7 linked regions of the Nothobranchius furzeri genome follow. The protein of the gene in region 1 interacts with the protein of each later gene in a pairwise test. Links are inferred from orthologs where the notes say so. Each region holds a gene or a part of one and is shown in the gene's direction. Other genes may lie near its edges. The genes, in order: plekhf2, setbp1, cAMP-dependent protein kinase type I-alpha regulatory subunit, hspb7, ube2z, frmd8 and rabac1.

Evidence for each region.
Region 2: the proteins of plekhf2 (region 1) and setbp1 interact in binary tests that used the Homo sapiens proteins (3 or more experiments, as listed by UniProt). The two-hybrid records come from large-scale screens. The link is inferred for Nothobranchius furzeri from reciprocal best matches to the Homo sapiens genes PLEKHF2 and SETBP1.
Region 3: the proteins of plekhf2 (region 1) and cAMP-dependent protein kinase type I-alpha regulatory subunit interact in binary tests that used the Homo sapiens proteins (3 or more experiments, as listed by UniProt). The two-hybrid records come from large-scale screens. The link is inferred for Nothobranchius furzeri from reciprocal best matches to the Homo sapiens genes PLEKHF2 and PRKAR1A.
Region 4: the proteins of plekhf2 (region 1) and hspb7 interact in binary tests that used the Homo sapiens proteins (3 or more experiments, as listed by UniProt). The two-hybrid records come from large-scale screens. The link is inferred for Nothobranchius furzeri from reciprocal best matches to the Homo sapiens genes PLEKHF2 and HSPB7.
Region 5: the proteins of plekhf2 (region 1) and ube2z interact in binary tests that used the Homo sapiens proteins (3 or more experiments, as listed by UniProt). The two-hybrid records come from large-scale screens. The link is inferred for Nothobranchius furzeri from reciprocal best matches to the Homo sapiens genes PLEKHF2 and UBE2Z.
Region 6: the proteins of plekhf2 (region 1) and frmd8 interact in binary tests that used the Homo sapiens proteins (3 or more experiments, as listed by UniProt). The two-hybrid records come from large-scale screens. The link is inferred for Nothobranchius furzeri from reciprocal best matches to the Homo sapiens genes PLEKHF2 and FRMD8.
Region 7: the proteins of plekhf2 (region 1) and rabac1 interact in binary tests that used the Homo sapiens proteins (3 or more experiments, as listed by UniProt). The two-hybrid records come from large-scale screens. The link is inferred for Nothobranchius furzeri from reciprocal best matches to the Homo sapiens genes PLEKHF2 and RABAC1.

The regions. Positions count from the first base shown.
Region 1 is NC_091745.1:67,586,871-67,591,183, reverse strand, and holds the start of plekhf2 (pleckstrin homology domain-containing family F member 2), read left to right. Parts: upstream 1-1,270; 5' UTR 1,271-1,916; exon of another isoform or gene 1,917-1,933; intron 1,934-4,313. UniProt on the Homo sapiens protein: May play a role in early endosome fusion upstream of RAB5, hence regulating receptor trafficking and fluid-phase transport. Enhances cellular sensitivity to TNF-induced apoptosis.
Region 2 is NC_091757.1:44,685,015-44,688,862, forward strand, and holds part of setbp1 (SET-binding protein), read left to right. Parts: intron 1-1,910; coding exon 1,911-2,332; intron 2,333-2,442; coding exon 2,443-3,848.
Region 3 is NC_091756.1:28,744,985-28,748,832, reverse strand, and holds part of cAMP-dependent protein kinase type I-alpha regulatory subunit, read left to right. Parts: intron 1-2,239; coding exon 2,240-2,410; intron 2,411-2,501; coding exon 2,502-2,593; intron 2,594-2,698; coding exon 2,699-2,760; intron 2,761-2,846; coding exon 2,847-2,893; intron 2,894-2,978; coding exon 2,979-3,137; intron 3,138-3,209; coding exon 3,210-3,270; intron 3,271-3,466; coding exon 3,467-3,588; intron 3,589-3,848. UniProt on the Homo sapiens protein: Regulatory subunit of the cAMP-dependent protein kinases involved in cAMP signaling in cells.
Region 4 is NC_091755.1:36,028,319-36,031,801, forward strand, and holds the end of hspb7 (heat shock protein beta-7), read left to right. Parts: intron 1-2,315; coding exon 2,316-2,440; intron 2,441-2,546; coding exon 2,547-2,726; 3' UTR 2,727-2,977; downstream 2,978-3,483.
Region 5 is NC_091758.1:15,254,616-15,259,233, forward strand, and holds the start of ube2z (ubiquitin-conjugating enzyme E2 Z), read left to right. Parts: upstream 1-1,482; 5' UTR 1,483-1,710; coding exon 1,711-2,144; intron 2,145-4,618. UniProt on the Homo sapiens protein: Catalyzes the covalent attachment of ubiquitin to other proteins. Specific substrate for UBA6, not charged with ubiquitin by UBE1. May be involved in apoptosis regulation.
Region 6 is NC_091750.1:53,401,038-53,405,550, forward strand, and holds the start of frmd8 (FERM domain-containing protein 8), read left to right. Parts: upstream 1-1,570; 5' UTR 1,571-1,710; intron 1,711-2,392; 5' UTR 2,393-2,399; coding exon 2,400-2,490; intron 2,491-2,637; coding exon 2,638-2,805; intron 2,806-2,912; coding exon 2,913-3,014; intron 3,015-4,190; coding exon 4,191-4,249; intron 4,250-4,361; coding exon 4,362-4,513. UniProt on the Homo sapiens protein: Promotes the cell surface stability of iRhom1/RHBDF1 and iRhom2/RHBDF2 and prevents their degradation via the endolysosomal pathway. By acting on iRhoms, involved in ADAM17-mediated shedding of TNF, amphiregulin/AREG, HBEGF and TGFA from the cell surface.
Region 7 is NC_091745.1:74,794,954-74,799,349, reverse strand, and holds rabac1 (prenylated Rab acceptor protein 1), read left to right. Parts: upstream 1-1,280; 5' UTR 1,281-1,415; intron 1,416-2,406; 5' UTR 2,407-2,420; coding exon 2,421-2,542; intron 2,543-2,619; coding exon 2,620-2,832; intron 2,833-2,975; coding exon 2,976-3,073; intron 3,074-3,280; coding exon 3,281-3,382; intron 3,383-3,501; coding exon 3,502-3,590; 3' UTR 3,591-4,137; downstream 4,138-4,396. UniProt on the Homo sapiens protein: General Rab protein regulator required for vesicle formation from the Golgi complex. May control vesicle docking and fusion by mediating the action of Rab GTPases to the SNARE complexes.

The DNA.
Region 1 (4,313 bases):
TGCTAGAAACCTTTAAAAAAGGTCAGAATGAAAAGTGTACACATCAGCTGAAGCCAACACTAACTAGTTTCTTATTTTAAATAAAAGTTTAATTGCATAGAAATAAGTATTTAAATAAAAATATTGGTATTTTTTATTTGATACCAGCAACATGCAGGTGAATTTACTTAGTTTTTACATAAAGAGGAGATTTGCACTCCTCCATGAGGCATTTTTCAGTTAACCGGAGGTGAACCAAAGGCCACATGTTTAGTCATCAGTAGAGGGTGGTTGTAAATGATGGAAACAGCTTTTTAGCAGAGGGGAAATGGAAAACAGTGCAAGGTGATGTATAAAATGACAAACAGGTTTATAATAAACTTTGGAGCAAATAATCACTTCCAAAAATTGGGATATTCTAATTTTAGCTAATGTTCCACAACAAGTAATCCGTTTGGTGTGTGGTACATTTGGATGAACCCAACATAGAAGAAAAGCAGCGTTAGGTCAAAGAAATAGAATTTTACTTGTGATGAAAGAAATATTAAACAAAGGAGTTGTTGTGGTGTAAAACCAAACCAAAACAGAGCATGTATATTTGGTTTAGAGAGTGAATGACTTCCTTTTTTCTCCTTTGGGTAATTAAATAAATTGTTATCACCCTTCACCAAACTCTCTGACATTCCAGCAGTGTGGAAATATTCTCGGACTCATTCATTTGAAGTGTTGGGATATTTGACCAACCCTGTAAGGTCACAGTGGTTTTCTAATACACGATTAGTGTTGCTCTAAGCATCGTGGCATAATCTAATCTCCTCCGGTGTCTCGGTGCAGATTTAAGAGCTTTGATGATGCAAGTGAATAATCACATTGACTCTCTTTGGGTGTTTGGATGAACTGATAAGAGCACCGTCTTCCAGTTTTAGGAAGCAAACAGACTCAGATCTAGTTTGTGGTGAATGATCCAACTGTAAATGTGCTCTACACGCTTTAAAATAGTTCCCAAAAACTAATGAATCCAGAAGCAGATTTGGCCTGTAAAAGTATAAAATAAATAAAAAATAATAATGCAATGTATGTTCAACTTATGTTGTGTATTGTATTGATGAATTTGATACTTGCAGACCATCTCTGCTGATAAAAACTGAGATTTAAATCCAGGAATTTAAAATGATGGGGTTAAAACAACAGCATGTGTTATGAACTAGAGTTGGGTGCTAAACAACTAATGAGTGCAAATGTTTTCAGTTTTTAAAGGGGAAAGCCAAAATCTAGTAGTGTTTCCCTAAAAGTTTGAATTAAATGAATTTTGAATGTTTGGATGCAGATGAGCAGCGTCCTAGCTTAAGGGTAGAGTTTTTGCTGCCACAGGCATTAAGAGGGGGAAAGTAAATTATGGGGAGTTTATTCCCATTCCTGTTGTTTGTGGACACTATGGAAACCGTTGTGCTTTATTTTCTTCATTTTTTTGTTAAGGTGTCAGTGCATTTTTCCTACAAAGCCACAACATGTACCATCTTGTTTACTATTTTGAACCCCAGGCAGGTCTCCTCCCAAAAACTTGGCTTCTGTTCTTGCTCATGATGCCTTCACTGTCCCTTGGAATAATCAAAAAAACGAACTACTTCACTACACGACTTGGAAGAAGGAAAAGATTATTTTTCTTTCGAAATAGGTCAAAAATATGACTTCCCAAATAAAAGTACAGCAATGATTTGCTTCTCAGAACAGACAGCTTCACTTCGGATTTACCAGCCATTAGATTGCCCTTGAACGCATCTTCTTAACGCTGCCATGTTGTTGTTTTATCCACGGAGTTTCCAGCTGCTGTCGGTGTCTGCGGACACAGTGGTCAGTTCTCGAGGCAGACTTACTACTTTACCGATATCACCTGGAATACAGCAGAACTTTAGATCTATTGCAGAAGCTATTTCACAGTGAGTGCTACCGTCGGGTATGTAGTTCTTTGGGTTTATAAGTTGACTGATGATACTTTAACTCTTTGGCTAAAGCTGGTTCCGTGGGTTTCAGCTACTTTTTCCTCATTCATGTTAATAGCCTGTAAAAGCCCGCGTTGTGTGGGTGCTTTTCTTTTCCTTTCTCCTAAATGTTTATCGATTATCGAAACTGGGAACCGCTTTTTCACTCAAAACCGAACAAAAAAGAGTGAAGATTAGCTTTAAAGTAAAATGTATGAAGTGCTTGGAAGCTAACGTCTGAGCTAGCTAGCTAAGTCTGCCAACGGGCACCACTTTCTTTTGCCAACTTGGACAAAAAGTTGAAAAGTAAATTGAACTTTGAGACGTGAGGCATTGATAATAAGACTTTAACTTGTTTGTGGAATAATTACGTTCAATAATTGGTGGAAGTGCTGGACAGACTGGAAACACTTGAACAGTTTAGGTGGAAATACTTGGGCAGAAACTACTAACTTCAATGTGTCTTGGCTAATGGTAACAAATGGAAACTGAACTATTCGGGCAGTTGGGAGTCCACCTTATCGCAACACAGTTGTGGACGTGTGTACTCGAGTTTTCTACCACAAAAAAGGGAAGTTTGATATGTCTTCATTGTGTCTAAGTGCATAAAATCTCCATTAGCTTCAGATGACTGAGGGCATAATAAAGCAACATTTATTTACACATATTCTGTCCCCGTGGTATTGAGTTTATTATCTGTTTACAGCAACACACATTTTAGGTTAGAGCAATACTATTTAAATCATTAACACTGTCTCAAAGAAGAGTGAAACATTAAACATAAAATGTAAAAAAATAAAATAAAAATAAAACTTATTTGATATCTATTGCACACAACATTGTTTTAGATTGAAATAGTTCATTTGTTTTTGTATTTTCCCCTTAATTTTTCTAAGTTTGCATTTCTTTAAAGTATGTGTCTATTAAAAATTGTAGCATTTTTCTTATTTATATATTTTCTTATAGAATTTTCTACTTCTCTTTCAAATTCAGTTTCTTTTTTAAGTTTCTGTGACTTCACATTATTGCAAAGATTATTATGAAACCAGGTGAGACAAGCTGTCGTTCAGTCATAGATGAAAACACAACATTGCAAAATATTTACACCCGCACCAGTGTCAGAGGGGGACAAGCTTAACTTTCTATTTTTTAAGGATCTAAAGTAGTAAAATTAGAGCCCTATGAAATCCATTTCATTTTCTTCCCTAGTTGAGATTTTCTTTTTTTTTTATTCAACTTTTTTTTTACATGGTAACAAATGATTAGATAATAAAAAAAATTAACAAGATTTTCTGGGGAAAACAAGCTTTTAAAATAGATGACAGTTTTTCTAGTGAGAGTTGCTTTTTGTTTCTAAAAATGGGTTGCAGTGCCTAAATCTGGTGACAGAATGTCATTCTTACTTCATCCTTACATATTGCACCTTTGGTAACAGCAAGCATTAATAACATGCCGCTGTAATTTCTGCTAAATTATATATAAATAGTAAAATGAAATCAGTGATTTTTGTTACCAGTAGTAGTCAAGACCCCCACCACCAAAGAGGAGTTCAAGCAGAAGATGCAAAAAAACAAACAGACAAAAAAAACATCAATAAATGTACTCAAACTTTAAAACTTCAATGCTTGTATTAAAGCCAATTTATTTTCAGGCTGTATTTTTAATGTTTGTTTGCATTCTAGCTTTACAAATGAAGGCAGTGGTCTTTCAGGATGTGGCATGTTACTCTACAGCTAGCATAGCCTCTGTTGCAATGTGTTGCATTTTAAATGACACAGTTTTAAATGTGATCCTCTTCATTTGCGTAATGAGGTAGGAATGCCCACAGTTATGTTTAAAACATTCTCAGGAATCTTAAGCCTGCCGCACACGAGAGCAATCTGCAGAGCAAACGGCCTCGAATGACCGTTGGCTCAGCAGATTGCTCGCCGTGTGCACCTGATTTTCACTGAGTTTTCCACCTCACAAGAAGCTGAGACGAATATCTGACCATTCAGATATTTTCCGCCTCACGGGGGGTAGAAACTCACCGTGTGCGCACTACTGAGCTGCCGGCTGAGCTGAACTATTCTAGTGGCCAATCGAAGCGCCTTCTCTGATCACATGATTCCAAGATGGCAGCCCCCTGTCTGCATGTCAGAAAATAAGCAAAACGGAGACAGAGCTGGAAACGGAGGAAATGCCTCTACCTTTTTTGTTGACGAAGCGCCGCCACCGGCATTTCAAGGTTAGGAAAGTTATGGGTACGGTGGCTGGAAATAAGGGCCAGGCGAAGAGTTTGTGCCAATTTACTCCCAAGAGATGCGACTGAAAGACCCAGAATCCTCAGCGTCTCGTGAGGCGGAAATTTAAGTG
Region 2 (3,848 bases), on another chromosome or scaffold:
GTTTTCTGGCTTTGTTAATCATTTACACTGCTCAGTGTTTGCTTGGGCCTGTTTCTGTTTCTTTTCTCTTTTTTTCATTTCGATCCACACGAGTCCTGTGCTCCTTGGCGTTTGTGTGTGTTTTTTAATTTATTTTTTGCTTTGTGAGTTTGCATCTGGCTTATTAACTGTTTCAGGGAAGTGTGAAAACAACTCGCTGAGTGATTACTGACTGCAGAAAAGACAGAAGTGACAGAAAAGTGATGTAGGCAGAGCAACACATTAGCAACGTGAAAGACAGCGGGCATGTAAATGTCTACACCAGACCTGAGAGCTTTGCAACAGTTGGGTTGTTTGTGCACGAGTCTGTAAATGTGCAGCAGCTTCACTCGTACATAACACTAGAATTTTGTGAAGCCTGTAAAATGTGTACATCAAGTGTGTGCGTGTGCACTTGTACGCCTGTGTGTACATGACCATGAGAGGCATAAGAGGCAAGCCTGTGGTTAGGTTACATCTCCCTGCTGTGCAGCAGAACAGTGTCTTGTTGCGGCATACTGAGTCTGTTAATAAGAGGCTAAACCACAGAGGCCATCCGCTGCTCTATTTCTCATCTTCCAGCAGTACTCTGATTATGCAGCAGTGATACATTAAGTGGGCTCTTCTAGTTTAGTACAGTTTATTGAGAGTTTTGCATATACGGCTATGAGGGGGAAGATATAAATCTTTTTATAAGTAAAAGGAAAACATATAATTTGTTTTGCATTTTTAGGCAAAACAAATGATATTTACAAGGCTGGTAGTCATGAAAAATAAAGACAATACATAAATAATCACAGATCTGGGGCAGAGATGTGGCTGCGTTAGGCTACTGTGAATAATATCGTGTTTTTTCCAGACGTCCCCAGATCTACCCTCCACTGATCGCACAGCATGCAACATCCTTGCCACAGGAATTTAATTGCTCTGCAAACAAGCCCTTTGTTTTGTTGCACATTGTTCATCCATGCTCAAAAGATGTATTAAAACCTTAAGTTGTGCAGTGAAAAGAGATGGAGGGCATCCTAAAGCACAACAATTTACTGATTTACTGAAAGGCTACTCCTAACTCATATATATATATTTATATGTATATGTATATACATATATATATATATATATATATATATATATATATATATATATATATACATATATATATATATATATATATATATATATATATATATATATATATATATATACATATACACATATATATATATATATATATATATATATATATATATATATATATATATATATATATATATATATATATATAGGGATGTAAGAAAATATCGATATGGCAGTATATCGTGATATTGTTTCCTGCAATATTATATCAATATTCAAAAGCCGTGTATCGACTTTTGGGCAGAATTTACATGCAAACATTTGTGTATTTTCATTTCCTTTGGTGCAATTCAAACGCCGACTTCTAGTTGGCAGCAGTGTGCAGTGGGAGTTTTGTTTCCACTATTGAAATGTAAATCTCTTTATTATGGTTCAGATACATCACGATAAACATGTTAAGTATCAGTTTGGACAGTTTATTGAAATTTTCTACAATAGATTTAGTCTAAAAAAATCGCTTCTATTGTCTGGCTGAATGTATCGCAATATATTGTGATATATTGTATCGTCTGCCCTGTATCGTGATGCATATTGTATTGCCAGAATTTCACCAATACACATCCCTATATATATATATATGTATGTATGTATGTATGTATATATATATATATATATATATATATATATATATATGTATATATATATATTTCTGATTACATTATCACATAATTGGTCTATCATTGCAAGTATTTAAAGCTGCCACACAGTCACAGTTTTTCTGTAGTAAACTCGTCTGTTTCCCTCCTGTGTTTCAGACGTACGAGCGTCAGTTCAGAATGCCAGAGCAGAAAGAAGGGGGCCTTCTACAGCTTCTGGGGGATCACACTCTGCCTAAACATCAGCTTCGCAGCACCCTCCCTCCTACAAATGCTATCTCAAACATGCCACAATCACAGCACAGCCTCACGCAAAAGTTCCAGCATGTTAATGCACAACAACACCAAGTTGTTCCGGAGTGGATTACATCTGTGGCACCTTTTTCATCCTCTGTCCATTCGGGGGAATCTAACGCAGCAGGAGGTTTGCTAGGAGCAAGCAGAAGTACTCTGCTTGATCCGACACAACCTTATCAACGGACAGCAACACAGACCCCCTCACCTCAGAGATCCATGACTCCAGAATTGCAGCTGCCAGTGGTCACAGATGCCAGTATTCTCAACCTGACATCGCTCAGCAGGTATGGCTATATTTTTTTTAATAACACAAAAATAAGAACTCCATCAGTAAGTTACAATGCATCCTTTCTTATTTATTTTGCTTAATTTCTCTGCTTATGCATATCTCTAGGGGTAAGGGCTTGCAAGAAGTAAGCGAACAGCTCTTTGGGAATATCAAGAGGAAGTATGGCAGGAAGGATTCTCAGAAGGTGCTCTGTAATCCCCACGGTACTGATGCACATTGGGGAAAGCATCCAGAGAGAGGATCAGAGAGTCCAGGTAATTCAGAAGACAGGCAGAAGTACAACCAAGAGGAGCTATCTGAACAGTTTCACTCAGAAAGAGAAGAGCGGAGAAGAGAGGAAAGAGAGCAAACAAACGCTGGAAGGAGAGGAGATGAAGAAGAGAGAGGTATGCCCCTGATCACAGAGGATGGTAAAGGAAGGAAGAGACGGAGGAGGCCTTCGTTTGACGAGTCGTTTTCTTTGGAGGAGCAACCACAGCTTCAGATTCTGGAAGCTACCCAGAAGCTTCAGACCGGAGCCCCGGAACCCAAAGTAGCACATAAGGTAGAGACTCACAAGACTGACTCTCGTCTTAAAAGTCAGGCGGACAGCAGCACTGAAAGGATCGAAAAGGCAGAGAGAGGAGATAAAGGTGATAAGAGGGATAAAGCAGAGAGGGCCGAAAAGGCAGAAAGAGGAGAAGCTGTTACAAGTGGGCCTGACCAGGAGTCAGATCAGAGTTTAAAAGGAGTGAAAAAGAATCCAGTGGGTCGTCCCAAGAGTGGTACAGATACCCTTAAACTCAGAGAGCCTGCATACAATCATATCAACAAGCTTAATCTTAGCTCCAATCTCAGACTCCCTAGCCCCAGCTATAGAGGTAGCATCAGTCCCATCCCCAGTCCTAAACCCAGGACCAACATTAGTCCAAGTCCAAGTCCTAGAGGCAGGGTTGACCTGAGTCCCAGCCCTAAAAACAATATTGTCTCTGAAGCCAAACTTAAACCAGCAAAGGTCAACGACAGATGGTCCTACCTGAAAGTTAAAAGTCATACCAGTCTGACATCACCTCAAAGAGACAAACTGGGAAGTCCTCTGGCCTTATCAGAGCCACCTTCTGCTTTCCCAATTACCCCGTCTAGCCCACTCTACACCAATAGTGACAGTCTAACGGTCCACGCTCCCATCAAGAGGAAACGAGGGCGTCCAAAGAAACAGCCACTCCTAACCGTGGAGACCATTCACGAGGGCACCTCCACCTCACCCCCAAGCCCACTGTCACAGGACACCTCTACAGGGCTAAGCCGCAGGAGAAAGACACATGGTCTAAACACGTTAGTTCAAATGGCCTCCCCAACATCCAGCGACTGTTCTAACAGCCTGAAGCTAACGCGAGGCAGAGGCCATCCTAGGTCAATAAATAAGACAAAGCTCGGGAAAATGCAAAGCATCTTAAACGAGATTCTCTCTGGATCTAGTCAGAATGGCTCTCTGGCTCTGAAGTCACCCTCAGCTCCTGTCACCTCAGCCA
Region 3 (3,848 bases), on another chromosome or scaffold:
AAAAAAAAATTCCCCATCACTTTCATTTTTTAAATAGTAATTAATAAACATTCGATACCATTTCAATTTCCTTTGATTTCATTTTAAATAAATATTTAGAGTGCCCAGGTAGCACATAAAAAATGCAATTGAACGGTTTTCTTAAAGTAGGAACGTTTAACCTGTGCGGCCAGAGCGCTCTCCTTCCTTCTGTTCTGCGTAAACCTGAGCTGATCACCTGCTTGTGCGTAATCAAATGTCAATAGGGGACAAGATATAGCCATGATGTTCACTTTTACCTCAGACCGACTTATTGCTGTTTTATGGTGTGGCTGAATCTGTGATCCGCTGCCACGCTGACTGGAATAACACATGCTGCAGTAACAGGAGTTGTGGTCAGGTTCATGAGGAGTCACTGGCTGTAGCGGACCCGACTCATCCCAGAAGCTAATATCTTAATTTGACCTTGAATGAAAAATAACCTCTTAAAAGTTTTTATCGTGGTGGAGGCAGCGTTCATTTCTGCCTTCAGTCTGACGGCGCGCCGGAGTTAAAGCAGCGTGCGCGCTTATTGAATCTGTGTGTGTGTGTGCGCGCACGCACGCGTGGCACAGCCGCTCAAGTCACCGCGTCTCGTTATTGTCGCTATTAAAACTTCTGCCCAGCCCAGATGTGCTCACATGTGCACCCGTGAGCCGTGACTGGAACGCGTCTGATCTCTGACAGACGCACTCTGAACTTCAGATCTTCAGCGCGCTGTTAATAGCCTGAATGGGAATCATTTCTTGTTATTTTGTTACATCCACAATGTTCTGTGTGTGAGGTTTACAATGTCAGAACACCTGCATGAGACAGGGTGTTAATTACAATCTGCCAGAATGACTCACCACCTTCAGATTCCTCCAACACCGTTAAAAATGATCAAATACGGAACATATCGGCGTGCGCAGGCCAGAGTGCTGAAGCTCGGTGCATTGTTATTATGAAGCTAGGGCACATGTGGAGGACACGCGCGCAAAAATATACTTGTTTTCAATTACATTTATTGGGCCCACTTACTTTTTCTTTGGCCCACCCACAAATGAGTTTCTACAATAATGGTGACATATGACAGACTTCTCTGAGCTCCGCAGCCATTACACTTTTCACCTCGCGCACCCCCTAGCGGCAGCTCGCGCACCCGCACCACACTTTGGGAATCCCTGCTCTAGATGGTGCTCTCCAAAAAAAAACAAACAAACAGATTTTTACTTAAACTAATAAAAAATATACAACCATATAAAATCAAATTGTCAGTTCAACCCATTTAACATTTTTATTTTGAATAAATTTAGGGATGTCCCGTTCTGATATCGAAAGTAATTCAATATTGACCCAAAAACATTGTATTGTGAATTATATCGGACGGCAACAAAAATCTCCGATATAAGCGGTCCGTTAAGGTTCACATTTTAGCAACCAATAGTTTTTCCCATTTTTCCATACTTACTGTTATTGGCTTTTGTTCTCCGATTGAGTAATGTCACTTGATCAGAAGTGAAAAAGTTGAATCGGGACATCACTAAATAAATGATCTGGTGTAGTATTTGTGATGTCATCAATACAAAACAGAAATGGCTGTAAATGTTAGGTTTAACAGAAAATGTCCTAACTCTAAAATCAGTAAACCACAGCTCTTCTATTCGTTTTTTTCTCCTACAGATGTGCATGCATACGGGTTTTTGTATTTTTTGGATGGTACGGCTCCCATTAACCTGAAAAGGCTTACCTCATGGCTCGGCCACTTTGGTCATCAGAGGATCATCGTCGGCTAGCAGAGCCTACACACTCAGGACAATCCAGACTCTTTTCATGTGTCGTTCCGCAGGTGTGGAAGGACATACCATGCACGACTAGAACAGGGGCTTCCTTGTCAACTTTCAAGAAACTCCAGCTCTTCAGAGAGCATCTTCTAGACTAGGACCCACCCTGCACCCATCCCCCACTCTACAGTTCACTCCTTGTTCACTTCCCTTTATGATTCATTATGCTGCCTCTCTGCCACCACGGGTGACTGATTAGTGTTTTGTTGTTAGCCTCAAGGGCAGCCTGCTGGCTTCATTATCACTTGTAAGTTGCTATGAACCAAAGCAGCTGCTAAATACATAAACATATTTAGAAATGATGTTTGAGTGACATCTGAACCCTTGGAGGTTTATTCCACATCGGTGGCTGATGGGGCTGCATCCTGGAACACTAGTCTTCTCTTTGACTCCTGCAGGAGGAGGCCAAGCAGATCCAGAGCCAGCAGAAAGCCAGCAGTTCCCGCTCAGACTCTCGCGATGAGGAGGTGTCTCCACCCATGAACCCCGTGGTAAAGGGTCGCCGACGAAGAGGAGCCTTCAGTGCAGAGGTGTACACAGAGGAAGATGCAGCCTCGTATGTCAGAAAGGTAGTTTAATCACTCCAGTGTGCGAACCGTATTGTAGTGATTCTGATGATATCTGATAGTAAAATCTCTTTCTTTAATTCTATAATTACAGGTCATTCCAAAAGACTACAAAACGATGGCTGCTTTGGCTAAAGCCATTGAAAAGAATGTGCTGTTCTCACACCTGGATGACAACGAGAGAAGGTACCGGGCCATAGATCGTGTTTATTTGAAGCTTTTTCAAGTGAAACGTGGATTTTAAGTTATTTGTGTTCATCGGATCAACTCACTGGTGTGTTTTATCCCCAGCGACATATTTGATGCAATGTTTCCAGTCACTTATATTGCCGGGGAAACTGTCATTCAGCAGGGTAGGAGCACATGTTTCATGTGTTATCTAAAATATTGACGATATTATGACCAGTGCGATACTAAATGTATTGTTCTATGTGTTCAGGTGATGAGGGTGACAACTTCTACGTCATCGACCAAGGAGAAATGGATGTGAGCATCTTTACTTGGTTTTCTAACATAAAGACCTTTGTTGATCCTTTTCTGAGGCATGGTTCGTACCTGTCTGATTCCACAGGTGTACGTGAACAACGAATGGGTGACCAGCATCGGCGAGGGGGGCAGCTTTGGAGAGCTGGCACTGATCTACGGCACCCCGAGGGCAGCCACCGTTAGAGCCAAGACCAATGTGAAGCTGTGGGGCATCGACAGAGACAGCTACAGGAGAATACTGATGGTGAGGGAACTTCTCGTCGACTCTGTGGATCATCTCACGGAGTTGGAGTAACACCCACCCTCTTTCTTTCAGGGAAGCACTTTGAGAAAGAGAAAGATGTACGAGGAGTTCCTCAGGAAAGTGTCCATTCTAGGTGGGTGTGTTTAGTTCTCATCAGCTGCTGTGTAGAAGTTTAAAAATAAACACGGAGTGGAGTTATTGGTGTTAGATCTGGAGTTTAAAATAACATGAAGGTGTATGTAAAAATATATCTAGACATAATCAGAGCGGGCTCAGCCTTTTGTGTTATCATGGTCTATCAGATCAACATCTGTGTTCTCCCTCCTCAGAGTCTCTTGATAAGTGGGAGCGCCTGACGGTGGCCGATGCCTTAGAACCCGTCCAGTTTGAGGATGGACAGAAGATCGTTGTGCAGGGAGAGCCAGGAGACGAGTTCTTCATAATCTTAGAGGTTCATGCACAACCCAATATACTCATGGCTGTCGGTGCATTAAAACGTTTTATTTGTGATTAATTACAATTTTTAAATGTATCATCACATGATATTTCTCATGTTTCCAATGTTTTTATAAGAAGTAGGAGCAGAGAAACCTACTTCCTTTTGGCGAACGATGACTAATGCTGTCTAGGACATTTTATAAAAAGGTTTTACGTCTAAAGGATACTGCACGCTCAAAATGCAAAAAGTTAATTCATAAGCAGCAAGTCCAC
Region 4 (3,483 bases), on another chromosome or scaffold:
TCTTAGATTAAGTTGTTAAAATAGACAAATGCACAGTGAGGCAATAGGGAACATGACTGATAAGCAGCCAAGAGAAAACAGTTTTTGCCATCATTTATATGGAATTTTGTGTTGTTGTTTTTTTTATAAATGTAAATATCACCACCAGCAGCAGCTGACATTCTCAAACTGCTGTGAAATACTGGAGAATGGAGCTCCAACAAGCCCTTGGCTCTTTAGTCCTGTCAGATGTAAACTCTATTTCTCAGAACTGAAGCTTTTCCGTGAGCAAGTAAAAGGATAATTTAGAGTTTTTATGGAGAAACGTGTTTTTTTTTTTACTGGTCAATCCACGCTTTTAAGCAAGCTTCTTTTTCCAACCAAGGACAATTTGATGACCTAAATAAAGACACAAAAAAGAAATTTACTGTTGATGAAAACATATTTGTTTCATTTTGAACAACAACAGAGGACAACATGACAACACAAGAAATTGACAAATGTTGCAAGAAAAATCTGGGATTAGCAATGCACGGGGAAGTGACTGAACATGAGGAAAAGATGTACTAATTACAAGACTAGATCAGTCGTGATCTCGTCCGTGGGAATCCTAAGGTGTTCCCAGGTCAGCCGAGAAATAGGGATGCAACAATACCACTTTTTTCCAAACCAATCTGAGTACTCGCTGATACCGATTACCGATGCTGATATTTCTACCACACAAAAAAATGCTATGAATTGGAATACAGGTTTTATTTTCTTCTCTGCTTTCAACAGGAAAAGACTGTAGATAAAAAGTAAAATACATTAATAGAAATCATCACAAAACTAAAATATTAGGTGAACAGAAATGACAAGTTACAGTGAAGCCACTTTCAAGCAACTGCATTGGTATCTGTTCCTGGTATCGGTTAACTTTTATCGATACCGATACTGGTATCGGTACAGATACCGATACCAGTATGTGCATCCCTACTGGGAAATATAATCCCTCCAGAGTGTTCTGGGTCTTCCCATAGATCTTCTTAAAGTTGAACATTCCTAGAAAACTTCACCAGGGAGGTATCCGGTAGGAATCTTAATCAGATGCCCGAGCCACCTCGGCTGGCTCCTCTTGATGTGGAGAAGCAGCAGATCTACTCCAAGCCCCTCACTGATGATTGAGCTTCTTACCCTATCTCTAATGGGCCATTCCCATCTGTACCTGGTCGGCCCTGCCTGGATAGCTCCAGTCGGCCCCTGCCTAGCCCGGTTGATTCCACACATCCTTGCTTAGGTATGCAAGCATGGACGTAATTTTGGGAGGGACAGGGGGGACATGTCCCCCCCACTTTTTCCAAAGTCAAGTTTTGACCCCTGCACTTTTTACCATCCAAAAACAATATTACACTATATTAAATTGACACTGGTTGAGCTCTAGGACCAAGCAGAAAACAACCATTTGTGTTGAAGCCTGTTTCCCATTAGAGCATACTGTAAAGATACCCCCCCCCCCCTCCCCTCCACTTCTAAAGTGAAAATTACGTCCATGTATGCAAGGAATGCAGTCAGAGACATTTTCAGCTTCTAGGTAATCAGCATGATAATGAATGATAATGAATTGAGCATGCCTTAAGCCCATGTGGGCTGATTCTACCCACCAATCAGAGGCTTGTTCTAATGGAAGGTGTGAATTTGCTGACTGATAAGCCTATCAAATAAAAGGCAGGCAAGCTATCCGGGCCGGGCCGACCAGGTACAGATGGGAATGGCAAGGGAGCGCCCAGACTCCCTGCGGAGAAAACTCATTACAGCAGTTTGTATCCACGATCTCATTACTTCAAAGTTCGTGATGTGAAGGTTGGGATGCAGAAGAACCCTAAATCCACAGCTTTGCCTTTTAACTCAGCTTTCTCTTCACTATGACAGACCGGTACCACTCCATCTTTCCCTCCTTTGTGAATAAGACCCTGAGATACTTAAATTCCTTCACTTGAGGCAGGACCTTGAGAGAGGCATTGTACCCTTTTCCAACCAAAGACCATGACTTTATTTGACCCCACCAAATATTTTTCTAAAAGTCAAGCTTGGTTGTCCCCAACAGATAATGTGTAAGAATACAGGGATGACTCGGCTCCTTCAACACCAAATTTTAGCTTAATATCTGTAAAGCTGTCTGAGTTATAAATGTTTTGGTGCTGTCTGAGGTCAGCTTTATCAGTTTATCTGTGGTAAATGTCAGAGAGAGAGGGATGAAACCATCCCCCACTTTGACTTTTTGGTGGGAGATAAGAATAGAAACAGAGCAGCTTTGGTCTTCTGTGATCTCACCATATCACTTCTTTTGGTGGTTTCAGGTGGAGCCGGGAACATCAAAACCCTCGATGATTCATACCAGTTTACCGTTGATGTGCAAGGCTTTTCCCCTGAGGATGTCATCGTCACCACATCCAACAACCAGATAGAAGTCCGTGCGGAAACGGTGGGCAGCATTTCTTTTGATTTGGAATGTTAACATGAAATTTAGAGGTAGACGAACAGTTAAGAACAACAACATTCAGTCATCTGCATTGTTCTTTCTGTTCAAGTTGGCCCCGGACGGTTCAGTGATGAACACTTTCACCCATAAGTGCCAACTACCCGAGGATGTGGACCCCACCTCAGTGACATCATCCCTGGGTGCTGAGGGGACTCTAACGGTCCAGGCACGAAGACAACCGGCCAAGCACGAGCTTGTACAGACCTACCGCACAGAGATCAAAATCTAGACAGAGACAGACTTTCTCACACATCACTTATTGGGGATTTAACCCCTCATTTCTGTCATTTTTATGATGTCTCTCCACTTCAGCCACTGCTAATCCACATTTCATGATGGCAACAAAGCTAGTTTAATTATATAGTAAAGGTCACACTTACATATCTCAGTCGGTTCTGTAAGGCAGTTTTACTCACATTTAATATTAAGTGTCATGAATTATTTAATGTATAATGTTAATAAATCTGCATTAAAACACAACTGAACCTTTCATTTCCCTTTTTCTTCCATTTACTATTGTAGTACAAAAACTTTGTGGTAATTTAACCTGTGAATGTAGGTAGTTCTATTTTTCTATAAGATTCAGAGTATGATTGTTGACATGTCAGTGGCCTAGTGGTGGAGTGTCTGCCCTGAAACTGAGTTCAAATCCCGGTCGGGTCACACCAAAGACTTTCAATGGGACCCAATGCCTCCCTGACACTCAATTTTAAGGGGTTGCATTGGGGGGTTAAACCACCAAATAGTTCCCGAGCGCAGCCACAGCTGCAGCTCATCGCTCCCCACGGGGATGGGTCAAATACAGAGTTTAATTTCTCCAATGTTTGATCACTGGTGGGACAGAGAAATGTTTGTGTATTTAGAAAAAAATAAGTACTTGGAGTTTATAGTCTTTGTGGGAAAATTAAAGAACTCTACACAAAAGGTTTCAAGCTGAACACAACTTGTTATTGTTTACGAAACATGTAATTTAAATCCCGACTTTC
Region 5 (4,618 bases), on another chromosome or scaffold:
GAGAGAGAGAGAGAGAGAGAGAGAGAGAGAGAGAGAGAGAGAGAGAGAGAGAGAGAGAGAGAGACATGTGGGGGCTGGGGGGGGGGGGGGGGGCGTCGACATGGTCGGGACATAGAAGGGGGTGCGCGGCTAAATAAGTTTGGGAACCACTGGCTTAGATAGTTGATTTCATATGAGCTTTATAGACCAATTGTAGAGTCCTATAATCAGCCAGATCGCCCAATTTTAATATTTGTACCACAGCCAATAATGCATTGGTTGGAGCTCTGACTACTTAGACTAATGATTGCTAATTTTTTGTAAAATCATAAATGGATTAGTGTATGTTTATATGTAATCCACAAATTTCAGTGCAATCCAGCATATATGGGACAATCACATGATTATATAAAACATTAAGCATTATATTTCAAAGACTCATTCACTCTGTTATCTGGTTATGCTAAAATGTCCACATACATTCAAGTTTTTATTTGTCTACACACACACACACACACACACACACACACACACACACACACACACACACACACACACGCACGCACGGACACACACACACACACACACACACACAGAGGCTGCACTCGCATACCGGTAAGCTAATGCGGGCGCGCTGACACACAACACAACTTCTCCTGCTACACTTCTTCTATAGGATAACAATTTTGATTGTTTTACTAGAAAATCCTGCAAATAAAATGTTTACCTCTCATCTGGACATTTACATCACACCACAAACAAGATAGCCGAAAATGTTCGTTATGCAGAACTGCAGCGATAAAAAATATGTCATTGGTGCTCCAGTCTTAGGTTTATCATATGGATCCAAACCATTTATAAGTCTGATTTTGTCCACATTCCGGTCCCCGACATATTTCTATAACATATCCCTGTTTATTCCGCATCCTTTAGGGATTTTATAATGTTGTTTAACACTTTCTTTCACCCAAATCCACTTCTTCTCTGCGACAGTACTGTTTGTTTCACGCTTTGTTTACACTTGTCAAGCTTCCAACATGTCCGCACACATCCCATAATGCTTTGCGTAATCACGTATGATCACAGTCTGATATTCAGGGTTTTCAGCTGTAATCATCACAGTTATAAGAAATAAAGGCTGAAACATCTGGATTTGCGTGGAACGAATCTGTGTCATCGTTTCACCTTTTAGGTTGTATTACTGACACTGATGCATTTTTGCTCCAGATTCTCGTTTTTCGAGGTTCACCTGTAGGTCTAACATGAAGTAAAGCGCTTAAATTGGACGTTTACTTTGAAGTCCTGACCGGATGTTACGTCGTTACCGTAACAACAAACTTGACATGAGGAAAAAACCCTTGAAGTTGTGGTATGTTGCTCGAACGGCGCTTATGTATTGAGTTGATAGCCATTTAACATCCTGTTTCCTCAGATAACCAACGAGTTAACAACACCTTTGGTGTTCATGTCTGTAACCAGGTGGGTGCTGCGGCTCTGCTAAACACGGAACTCTCTGGAGGCCCGGGAGGAATAAATACAGTTTAGCAAATAATACGTAGCCATCATCCGCGGGAAGCCCTGCCATGCCTCCTACCTGCCTGCGTGTTCTCTGATCACAATGAGAAATGAAACACTCGGAGGTCACTTCAGACTCTATTACCAATGAGGCTAACACCTAGCGTTGCAAGGTAGGCAGCAGCGGATTTACACTAGCTTGCTAGCTCGTGAGCCATGGCGGATAGCTTTGGAGAGGAGTGTGGCAGTGGTGCCTTTGGTTTAGGCGTCACCGAACAAGGCAGTGGAACCTTTCCTCTGCCGACTTTGGCCAACTCTCTTCCCGAGGGACACTCAGCAGCAAGCGGTGTAAACGCCAGCGCCAACTCGGCCTCTCCTCCACCCGCCACCACCGCACAGAGTGGCCTAACTGCTTTGGCTCCTGTCGCGTCTGCTGTCGGCTTTGGAAACACCTTTATTACGGGGTCATCACCACCTTTTATGGCAGTGTCTCCGATTGTGCACGCGTCCTCCTCTCTGCCCACCGTGGGGCTAGGGGTGGCAGGAGGGGGCCTCTTGTCCCAGATCCACGCCACTTCCTGGGATCCGACCCTCAGCACAGACTGGGACAACGAAAAGGCTTCCCAGCAGTGCATCTTGAGGATAAAGAGGTAAATTCTGTTTTTAATCAAGCCTTAAATTATTTCTGGATCCTTTCTATCATGTGTGTTTTTTCTATATAAGATACTCATTAGCCTTTGAATGAATTGTTTCTTGTGCTGCATCGTCTCCGCTGTCTAATCTCTGATTACTCAACCTTAATTCTGTCTTTTCCTTTTAGCTCTAAATTATAAATTTATTTGGGTTCTCATGTTTGTTGTTGTTGTGACATTTCATGCTAATTGTAAAGCATATTGAATTGCCCTTTGTTTGAAATGTGCTATAAGCTACCTTGCCTTTAATTCAGCTCCAAGGCTTTCCTACTAACCGTCACTGAGGTCTGCAAAACGATTATTAGCTTAATAAGAATATTTTCTGTAGAGTTTGCCTTTGCCAAAATAAAGAAATCATTTTGGTGACTGTGTTTAAGGACCCAAAAGTCATTTCATGCTGGGGAAAACCGAAAGTGTTTAACCAAAGAAGTAAAACCAGGAAATAGAACCTGATTCTGACGTCACTCACAAGGAAACCTGGTTTATTAGTGACTAAAATGTGTTGCTGATGGGATCATGGATCTCCCCTGTGCTAAAAGATTGCATAGGTTACAATATGACTATAAATAAAATTGTAAAAGGTAAGGAAACGCGTAGCACCGACACACCTGTCATTGGATCACAACAGAAATGAAAGCAGAATGCCTTCTGCAATAATAAAAAAACGCTAGTGTAGGGCTGGACGATATAGAAAAATATTCAAATTCAAATTCAAAACTACTTTATTAATCCCAGAGGGAAATTGATTGCTGTAGTAGCTCAGAATAATAATAATAATCAAGTCATCAAAGAGTTGTTGTATATTACAATGGCTGTTGGCAGGAAGGATCTCCAGTAGCGGTCAGTGTTGCAGCCAAACTGAAGAAGCCTCTGACTGAAGACACTCTTTCATTGTCGGACAGTCTTGTGAAGAGAAAGCTCAGGGTTGTCCATCATTTTCTTGATTCTCTGGAGAATCCTTCTTTGCATTATCTCCTCCAGCGGTTCCGAAACTGCCGAAACTCTGGCTGAGTCCTTGAAAGGGCTTGGAGTTCCTCCATCTTGTTGGGCAGTGATCTCACATTGCCCATTATGATCGATGGAAGAGACTGTTTGAATTTCCTCTTTCTCCGTCTCTGTTTAGCTCCCGCTCTGCACCCACGCTTCTTGCGTTTTAGCTCATTTGGGATTTGTGGCTTCAGTTGAGGTATTATTTCAGCCTTTCCAATGTTAATCAGTTGTTCCTGATTGTAAACCAGCTTGTTGCCATGGTTACGCATCATAAAAAATGCTCAAAAATTGAGAAAACCTAAAAAATAGCAGTAAAAATCCTCCAAGCTTCACAGCACCAGAAACGGAAAAGTAAAATGTCAAAACAAATACAGATTTTCTTGAGAAACTAGAAGAAAAAATGCCCAAGAAAAGGCAAAATTTACATACAGTCAACAGAGCTACTCCAACATGCAGCCGCCCAGAGCAGCGCAGTTCGTTAAAAATGTTTTTATATTCATCAATATAGATAATTATTAAAAAATATTTAAAAAATTGTAGAAAATATATTTTATGTGCAGCCCTGGCCGTTTTATTTTTGGTATTTTCATTTTTCTCCGTCTCTTCTTGCTGCGACATCTTTAGGATTGCCACAAACAACTATTTTAATAACCGACTAATCGCCAGTTTTGTTGACGATTAGTCGACTAATCGCCAACAAAACTGGCGATTAGTCGACTAATCGGGTCGTTCATAAAAGTTTAGCTTATTGCACCAGGATGCTCTAATATACTCATCTTTAGCTTCCAGGAGAGGTGTGACCAAGTCACTGCTTTGCAAGTCACAAGTAAGTCACAAGTCTTTTCAGTCAAGTCCAAGTCGAAGTAGAGTCCAAAGTCAATGATGTGGAAGTCCAAGTCAAGTCCAAGTCCTTAACTTTGAAGTTTCAAGTCATAATCACGTCATCTGTCCAACTTCAATTTAATGACAATCATAATAAATACATTCTAGAAATAAAACTTCTTAAAGCTTCATTTATTTGCTCAAACAAGCAGAACGTGCAACTGAATTATAAACAAAGTGCTGCTGCATTTAGAGGTACAACATCAAACCCAGAACGGAGAATGATTTAGGATTTTTGTCCATGTTGTGCCACTTTTGTGCTAAAATGTCAAATATGCTCAAGTCATCAAGTGAACAAATGCAAGTCGATTCAAGTCGCAAGTCATTGGCACTCAAGTCTGAGTCGTTGTGAGTCTTAATAGATTTTATCAAGTCAAGTCAGAAGTCATTAAAATAATGACTCAAGTCTGACTTGAGTCCAAGTCATAGGACTCGAGTCTACACGTCTGGCTTCTAGTCTGAAGTGTGATCAGCTATGTGCCATCTAATAATAAAGACAAGATGATAGCTTATCAAGCAACTTTAACTTTGTAACCTGTTAATGCAAATGCTGCAGTCAC
Region 6 (4,513 bases), on another chromosome or scaffold:
TTAAAAAAGCATGAGCGGCAGAAGGCTTTGTTGGTCATCTGTGTGGATTTTTATGTGCCTACCGTGAATTGTCTTGAAGCTATGACGAGAAACTTTTAGCTGCCTGAAGCCGATCAGAGGAGAAAATCTCTGTTCCTTTAACATGGGTTTCAATGAGGCAGAATCTGGGTCTCTCCTCCTTCTGAGGCTTGTAGCGAAAGAACTGTAACAGTTACAGAAAAAATGAAACCCATTCTGAAAAGCTGACATAAATTCCTAATTTTTGAGTTATAATTTGTTTTGGTAGTCCAAACGGTCTGGGGGTAGTAAAGAGTTGTTCACAGAAGATGTGAAGTTCAAAAGTTAGAGTGCGGAACTTTCAGTTTAGAGTGGGGAGAGACATTTTTTTAATTTGAATTTTCTCAAACAAATGAACCGTACGACCACAATGTTTGGAGTACAGTACATGAATTATAGCTCAAAACGAAGGTATATTCGTTAGATGTAAGCCAGCATGTGTCTCATTTCAATCTGACCTACGGTTTTCTCGGGACAACGCCAGAAATGGAGCAAGGGAGGGTCACTGCTCCTATCTTTCCCCATTATAACTTTTGTGAATTTTTCTGAAAATTTCAAGTCGTACTTCAACTTCTACCTGCGATTTTACAAAAACCGTAAAAGATATTCAAAAATGCCTCTTTAATATGTTAAACAGGAAAGTCTTATGAGTTTGTTAAACTTTGAATGAAGTCTCTAAGTTAAAAGGAACCCAATAGAGTTTTAGGTCAAAAAAGTGATAGGAATTTGCTGAAAATTGACCAATCCCATTCATTTCAATGGGAAAATTTTCGCAGAAAAAGCTTAATAACTCGAAAAATTTTAAAGATATCAATGCCAAAAGTAATAGCCGGAAAGAGCTTAACGAGCTGAACGTTTTGATATAAAATTGTTGAAATAGCTCAAAATTTGAAGGAGAAGAAGAGGTTCAAAAAGTGTACGGAAGCAGAATAAGAAGAAAAGAGGAAAACAATAGTTTACAGCATTCAAACAATTACTCTGGATAAATCAATCTCAGTAACATTAAATAATACAGGCCTACACATTTTATTTCATTTTGTTTAGTTTTGTTTAAATTTTATTTTATTTTATTTTATTTTATTTTATTTTATTTTATTTTATTTTATTTTATTTTATTTTATTTTATTTTATTATGTACGTTAACCTGTTGTATGTGCCGTCAATTCTCGTCGAATCAGCGAATACCTGCGGAAGATAAACACAACAATCAGTTTGCTGACGTTATGTCACGTGATGAGACCACGGAGCGCCTTGGGAAGTTAGGCTCATTTTAGGGATTCAATCATTTGGTTCTCGATTCACATAGTCAGTCCTTTAGACTAATTTAAGGGTATTACTCAACGTAAAATTTACACTATCCGTCGTTGTAATAGTTTATATGATTTTTTTCCATTAAAAACCCATGGATTCTTGAGGTTGTGAACTCCCCAGATGTATTGTTCATCCTACCGAAGAAGAACGGTTCAAAATATCCGACTCGTTCAGTCATCACACATTAGCTGCTGGAAAGCTAGTTTTCAGGCAGCGGGCTAGCCGCAGCCAGAAAATAAAACCTCTGGAGCAAAACGTTGATTGATTAATGTACCCAGTAGTATTTACAAAATTAGAATATCCTATCCAGAGTAAAAGCATCGAGGGGAGAACTACTTACAGGTGAGTGAATACCAGATGTGTTTAGTTTTTTAAAAAACAAGTTAGCTAATGGGCTAGATAGGTGATCAAATTTGTTTCATAGGAGTGACAATTTACTGTCAATAAGTCTGTGTTTTTGCGGTCAGATATGTAGAGTAGTCCAATTTGTTGTATTGTGGCTCAGACCATTTTACAGGATTAGATTTAGACACGATGATGGTCATTTCCGGGAATATTTCCCTGTTGTTGTGCTGTCACTCTGCATATGGGGACAATGACAGTCCTCCTGATAAACTAACCTGCTGTGAGGTGGCGGTGTCTGCAAAACGGTGACTCGTTTTTAAAATGTTTTAAATAACAGTCGTTGGGGCTAAAATCTTACTCCACATCAGACCAACAATGGGTTAGTTTAGGAGTATCTCCAGTTAAAATTCACTTGGTGGCGCTGGCTCCCAGTCGGGACCGAGTTAGCCACATCACTAACATGTCAGACAAGGATTAGGTAGCATGTGTAGTTCTGCTGCTATAAGTCAGATCTTTATTTAAAGTTATATGCTGCTCACATAAACACATCATGCTGTCAGAATAAAGTTTACAGTCATGTACGACCTCATGCTGAGGTATTAAAATGTGTAGAATGCATCAATGCTACATAAAACCCTCTCACCCATTCTGATGGATCTATTTGGATTTTGTGTTTCAGATAAGAGATGGAGGGCGACGACTGCAACTTTCCTCCAGATTTGTCGGATAATCACTCTCAAAGGGGAAGTGTTGCTTCCTCTGCTACGCTTTCTCGTGGTAATGGTGCAACGTGTTTATGAACACCAAATTAACGCCTTAACTGTTACATTTCTTTATTTTCTCTGCAATGGTAGCACATTTCTATTAAAGAGTTTTAAATGTATTCTCAAGTGTTGATTGACTAACTGGTCTTTGTTCCCACAGCTCAAGATGTGCTTGTGTATTTGTACGGTGACAGTGCAGTTCACTTATCACTAGAAGGGCTTGGTAGCGTATCCGTGCAGGACTTGGGCCACAGTGTTCGTGAGGCTCTGCAGATTCCTGAGTCTGTGCAGGATGCTTTTGCCTTTTGGCTTTGTTCCCCTCTGCTCGGCAAGAACTTCTTATTTTTGTTACATTTGTTACGTTATCTAAGTATGAGAACATGCATACCTTCAGTGGAAGCCGCTAAACTTTATGCTTCCTTCTTTGTTCTGCAGAGCTGCAGCTAAAGATGAGGCATCAGCCTTACAAGTTATGTAGGCAGTGGCAGGACTTGCTGTATCGCTTCACTGATGCATCAGAGGAGGACATCTCACAAGGTGAGAACATAAGCCTCGTTGTCTCGCAGCACAAAAGTTCTCGTCCTGCTGGTTTGTATGGGATGCTTCTGTGTTTTTCCTATGACTGAGTCATTCTAGGAAGTAATTGTGGCTGAGATGACTCAGAGTGACTCCTATAATTTAGATGCTGTGCATGATACTGCTCTGTGATTTGCGATTGTACTCAGGCATGTCAAACACAGAGTTGCAGGTAATTCTCTCACTCAGGTCTACATCGCTTGTAACTCGAACTATATTTATAAAAGACTCCAATATTCTGCTGTCTCACTGCTGTGCAAAATCTCGGGACTGTTTCTCGATTATTCAGTGGATTTTATTTGTATCACTATAAACTGTCAGTGCTACATAAGCTTAATGCTAAACTTTAATTTTATGCTATTTACTTTTATTTTGTTTTAATCCATCTAATGCATGCATTATGGGATTAATATTCTGCTTTTAAGCAGGAGCGTAAATTTGGGAGCACTGATTGTTGTGTTTAGGCTCAGATCTTGTCCTGCTTTCTCTCCAAACTCTTTTTTTTTACTCTGAAAAAGCTCCTTAAATGTGTTTAACTTGCTCTCAAAAGGACTCTAATACTATAAAATAAAACCTAAAACCTGCTCTTGCATATATCAATCAAAGCTTGATTTGTAAAGCGCCTTCCACGACCCTGTCAGGGAGCCCAAGGCGCTGTACACAGTACATAAGAAATGTAAATCACGGTGATATATTACCTGTTGTCTTGAATTTGAGGGAGATGATCCTGCCAAACATCTCCTGGCCAATGGGAAGCCAGAAACGATGCTGACCAATGAGCTCGTTGTCAGTCAGAGGACAGAACGAATCCTTCCAGAAGAAGTCAGATGTTTATTAGTAATGATGACACATCCTGGTGGACTTTTGTTTCTGAGAGGTTTTGGTTTCCCCACTCAGGCTGGACCAGCTCACACACGTCCTCTGTGAGGAAGGTGACCTCTCTAGTCAAAGGACACGATGACAGCTCAACGCTAAAAGTATAGAGTCACTTAGTTGTGTGACCTGATGTACTCGTGAAGTAAATCCCACCCACGGTCTGGGGATTTCAGCCTGAGGAGAGTGGGCTGGAGGCTGAATCTCTTGTTTAGATATCTAGTTAGATGATCAAACTCTGACGGCTTTCTTTGTTTTCCTCAGATGAGCCGTATCTGCAGTACAGACGCAACGTGCTTTATCCAAAAGCAAAAGAGACGCAGGTACGTTTCATTCAGCAAAACATATTTAGGAAAAAAAAGGTTCTAATGGCCTAGATTTATTAAATAAAACTCACTTTTTCTTTTGCAAACTTCCTGATCGTTGTCTGAGCAGATCGATGACGAAGGAGTGTTGAGACTTCTGCAGGAGGAGGCCAAGAGCAACATCCTCTCAGGTCGCTATCCCTGTGACCCTGAGCACTGGATGGCCCTTGGAGCCCTTACTTTAGCTCTTGAAGAGGGAACGAGTCTAGACGACCAACAAGT
Region 7 (4,396 bases), about 7.2 Mb from region 1:
GTTAGGAAGTTTTGGGGGATGTTAACCTAATTTAGTAATTTAGCAATATTTTAACACAATTATCAATTGTTTGAATAAACGTTCTCCAGTTTGGTTTATTTGCTGTTATTTACCCTATTTTGTTGAGCATTTTTTTAAATAATCTATTAATACTGATTGTTATTGGAAATTAAACAAAAATATAAAATATAATTAGCTTTTTTGGGGAAAATGCAACTATTTACACCATATTTTCTGACATTATTTATACTTATAGTCGACTAAGTTATAATATATATGTGAGATTTTGAAAAAATATGACATAGAAATGTATTTTCCTCGGGAGTCAGGATATAAAATGTTAATGTACGTGAGCTCAGTGTGTGTGGAGCTGAACATTCCTGCCTTTTACCGTTTCAGCTTGACGCTCTCCACACACACGAACCAGTCAGCGGTGTCGTTTTTATCTTCAGGCAAAATGTGTATGAAAGCAGCTGGAGGCTCCTGAAACGACTCGTTCCTCTTGTGTTACGGTTTTACGCTTTATACGAGTTTATGTATCCTGTCACGGTTTCTGTGGAGAAAAAAACGGTCATTAAACACCCAGCCAGGACAGCTGTTGAGCTGAGTAAGCTAAAGAGCCGAATAAGCTAAAGCTAACGGAGCCAGCGTAGGCTAATATGCTGCTATGGCGCTGTGTCCCCCTTTAGTGCATTTGTAAAAAAAAACGCGTACATTTTGTTTTAGCATTGAAACGTTACTTTATTAATGACTAACAAAAACAGAACTGTCATAAACCCCAAGGTCTGAAGATTACATTTAACAACACGTAAAAACATTCCAACAGCTAAATTTGATAAGATAATTAATAGCGCCTCACCTTCTAATGTTTGTTTCCTTTCTTTCGCTGGCGGATCTAGCAACTTCCACAGTGCCGCGTGCCCAGTGACGGCAGCACCACAACACTCGTCTATCTACCAATCACAGCCTCTTTGTTTGTTACATGACGTAAGGTCACGTTTTTACCATTTCTGATCTGCAGTCAGTTTTTCGTGCTTGTGTGGTTTTGAGCAGCCACCGCAGAAAACAGGCAGCCGATCTCAGGTCGGCTTTTTCAACAGATGTGTTTTCGGCTGTTAAGAGAAAAAACTCCGTTTTTTGGATGAAGTAAAAATAATGCAAAAAAATAAATAAATAAAATAAAAAGTAATACAAATGAAAAGTTCCACCTGTGTTGTGTAACACAAAATTCGAAGTACTCTATGTAGCCAGTAGGTGGCCCTGCCTAGAGTCAGCGAAGTAGGAAGTTTTTTCTTCTTCTCCAGCAGCCACATCACTTCCGAGATCCAGAACAGCAACAAAAGACAGCTCAGGCTGTCTGGTGAAACTTCTGCCTACATTTTGGTGAATGATTTAAGGGTTTAGCATTTTGGCAGGTATGTTGTAATTTAAATTCTTATTTTAAAAACAAGTGAAAATTACGTTGACGTTAAATAAAATCCGGAAGTAGACGTAAACATTAGCTCATAAGCTAGCATTTTACATTTACATTCAGGTTTTAAATAGACTCGTCGTGAGTATAATATTTATATTTGAAATTGCTACTTCTAGACACTGTTGTTTGGTAACGAGAGTTTCTCGGTTATCCTGTTTATTTAGTGATGTGGCACTGGCCGGGCCCTGTTTCTACTTCTTCCTGTTTCTCTAACTAAGGATCGCCATTAAACTAGAAAGACATGTAATCATTAGACAGTGATTGTTTATACACTTGAGACCGTTTTAGATTATGACGTGTCAAATGTGGCGTTTTAAAATACGAAAAATCAAAAGTTAGCTCCATTGACATTTGCGATTATTGCTTTCAAAACAGCTTAAGAACCAGGGAGGTTTACTGGGAACACGAGGAATATGAAAGATAAAATAAGAAGTGTTGGGGTTAAAACATGTGTCTACAGTAGATCTGAAGGTCAATGAAAATGGTGCAGTTATAGAAACGACCATATGTCAAGTTTTCAGTCAATATATCTTTTGGAATCCGTTTTGTGTGTGTGTGTGTGTGTGTGTGTGTGTGTGTGTGTGTGTGTGTGTGTGTGTGTGTGTGTGCTAAAGTACCTTTTTTTAATTTCTCAAATTGTTTAATCTTTGGTATTTTGTCATCGATTCTAATTTAAAAAATAGGATTTAAATGTCCACTACACTACACTACACCAGTTTCAGAAATGTTTTATGCCTGAAGGATTTATAGACTAGAAATAAGGGGCTTCATAGGCAAAAAATAATAATAATAATACATCTACCAGAAAATGAGTGGAAACGCAACCAAAGTCTAAATAAGATGCTACACCGTTGCATCAAATAAAAATGAGTAAATCCAGGCTAATTGTTTTTGTAAAAGTTTAGTCCACATTCAATGTGATTCTGTTTCAGTCAACAGTCTCTAAATGTTATCTGGAGTGCCTAAAGGGGAGAACGTCATGGTGGACATGGACAGCAAAGCTGGAGATTTGTTCATCCCAGATGAGGCCCATCCAACCGGCACAGGGGGCATCGGAGTCCTCTCAAGGTGTGAACCACCATGCTTTCATATTTTTACCCTGGCTTTGGTGTGTTGATGATATTCTATTTTGTTTATTTTTATAGGCTCTGGCTTCCTAAAGGCATCTCGGCCAGCATGGCTAAGGAGTGGTTCGACAGGCGCAGGTTGTCCATCCGACCGTGGGCCAGCTTTGTAGACCAGCGCAAATTTTCAAAACCTCGCAACTTTGGAGAGTTGTGTCAGAGGGTGGTTAAAAATGTGGAAGTTTACAACAGCAACTATACCTTCATATTTCTGGGGCTCATCCTCTACTGCATGTAAGACCTAATCAAAGAGAGCTTCATTAAAACAAAAAATGTTAATTAGATCATCTGTGAGACTCTGGCTTCTAGAAAAATGTCGACAGTCTGCTTTAAATAGCTCCAGCCTGACAGCCCTGTTCATTTTTCCTGCTCCTCAGTATCAGCTCGCCCATGCTGCTGATTGCCTTAGCCGTGTATGCTGGTGCCTTCTACGCCATCCACCTTAAGTCTCTGGAGTCCAAACTGGTTGTTCTCGGTGAGTACATTTCCTACAAATCCATAATCTTTTCAAATTTACCAGATTTAGTTTTTTTTTTTTTTTAACATTCAAGGTCTATTTTTTTTTATTCTGTGTGAAACCTTTTAAATATGTCATCCATGCCTGTTCTGGATTTAACCCACGCTGCATTTAGCACCACAAACCCTATTTTTAATATTTTTCTTCATATTTCTTGTTTATCAGGCAGAGAACTGACAGTCCCACACCAGATGAGTCTGGCTGGAGCCGTTTCTCTGCCCGTTTTCTGGTTGGCAGGAGCCGGAGCCGCTGTGTTTTGGGTTCTCGGTAAGCTGAACATGATTTGTTCTTTCCTCGTAATCTTTTTCTGATGTTTCATCTTGATTAAGAACTAAAATCGTTTCTTTTTACATCCATTTTTCCTGTTCTGTGTGGTTTCCTGTCAGGAGCAACTCTGTTTGTGATCGGCTCTCATGCTGCGTTCCGAGAGTTGGAGGCGTCGGACCTGGATGAGCTCCTCATGGAGCCGGTCTAAAGAGCTGCTCCATGATCAGTCCTCGTTTTGACCCTTTGAGAATCTCCTTGAAGATTTTTTTATATCTATACATATATCCTTCTTCCTCATGTTTACCTTATGGCATTGTATTACGAATGCACCTTATGTTGCATGATAAATAACTGTTGTTACACAAATGCATAAATAATGAATTTCTTATTGCTTGAAGCACATTATTCGCCTTTATCTGCATATATTAAGCCTGCGATGCCTCTGGTTTGTGCCATGAAGCCTCTTGCTCTTTAGCGGAGCATCTGCGCTGAATTCCTAGCTGTGGGCATCCTGCAAAGTAAATTCTGACGGCACCATCCAAACTGCTGGTATCGACGCATGTCCGAAGGTCAAGTGCCATTTAGTTTTTTAATTAGTTTTGAACATTATGTGGCTTCTCTTTTTATTTATTTGATCAGCTCTGGTTCAGACATTCTGGTGGGAAAGGTCACGAAAAGCACATTTTAGAAATTCATTTGTAAATTATGCGTTCTGTGCTGAAACGTTGGAAGTGCAATAAATTCTGTTACTGTTACTTGTCTTTAGTTTTATTCTCGTAAGAGTTGGCGTGTACATGTGCACGCACGGGGCAGTCGCTGCGTCGGACTCGGTGGCCCTCGGCACATATTTCTGTATGTGTTGTTATTCCAGTCCAGTCTGAATAAGACAAACCCACGACTCCTCTTCTCCCTGTATCTCTTAAGTGCACCAAACTGCAGCGTGCACCCCCCCCCCCCCCCCTTGTTCCACCTCTTCACGCGACCCCTGTGACCTGTGCTCTGTGACAGCGCAGC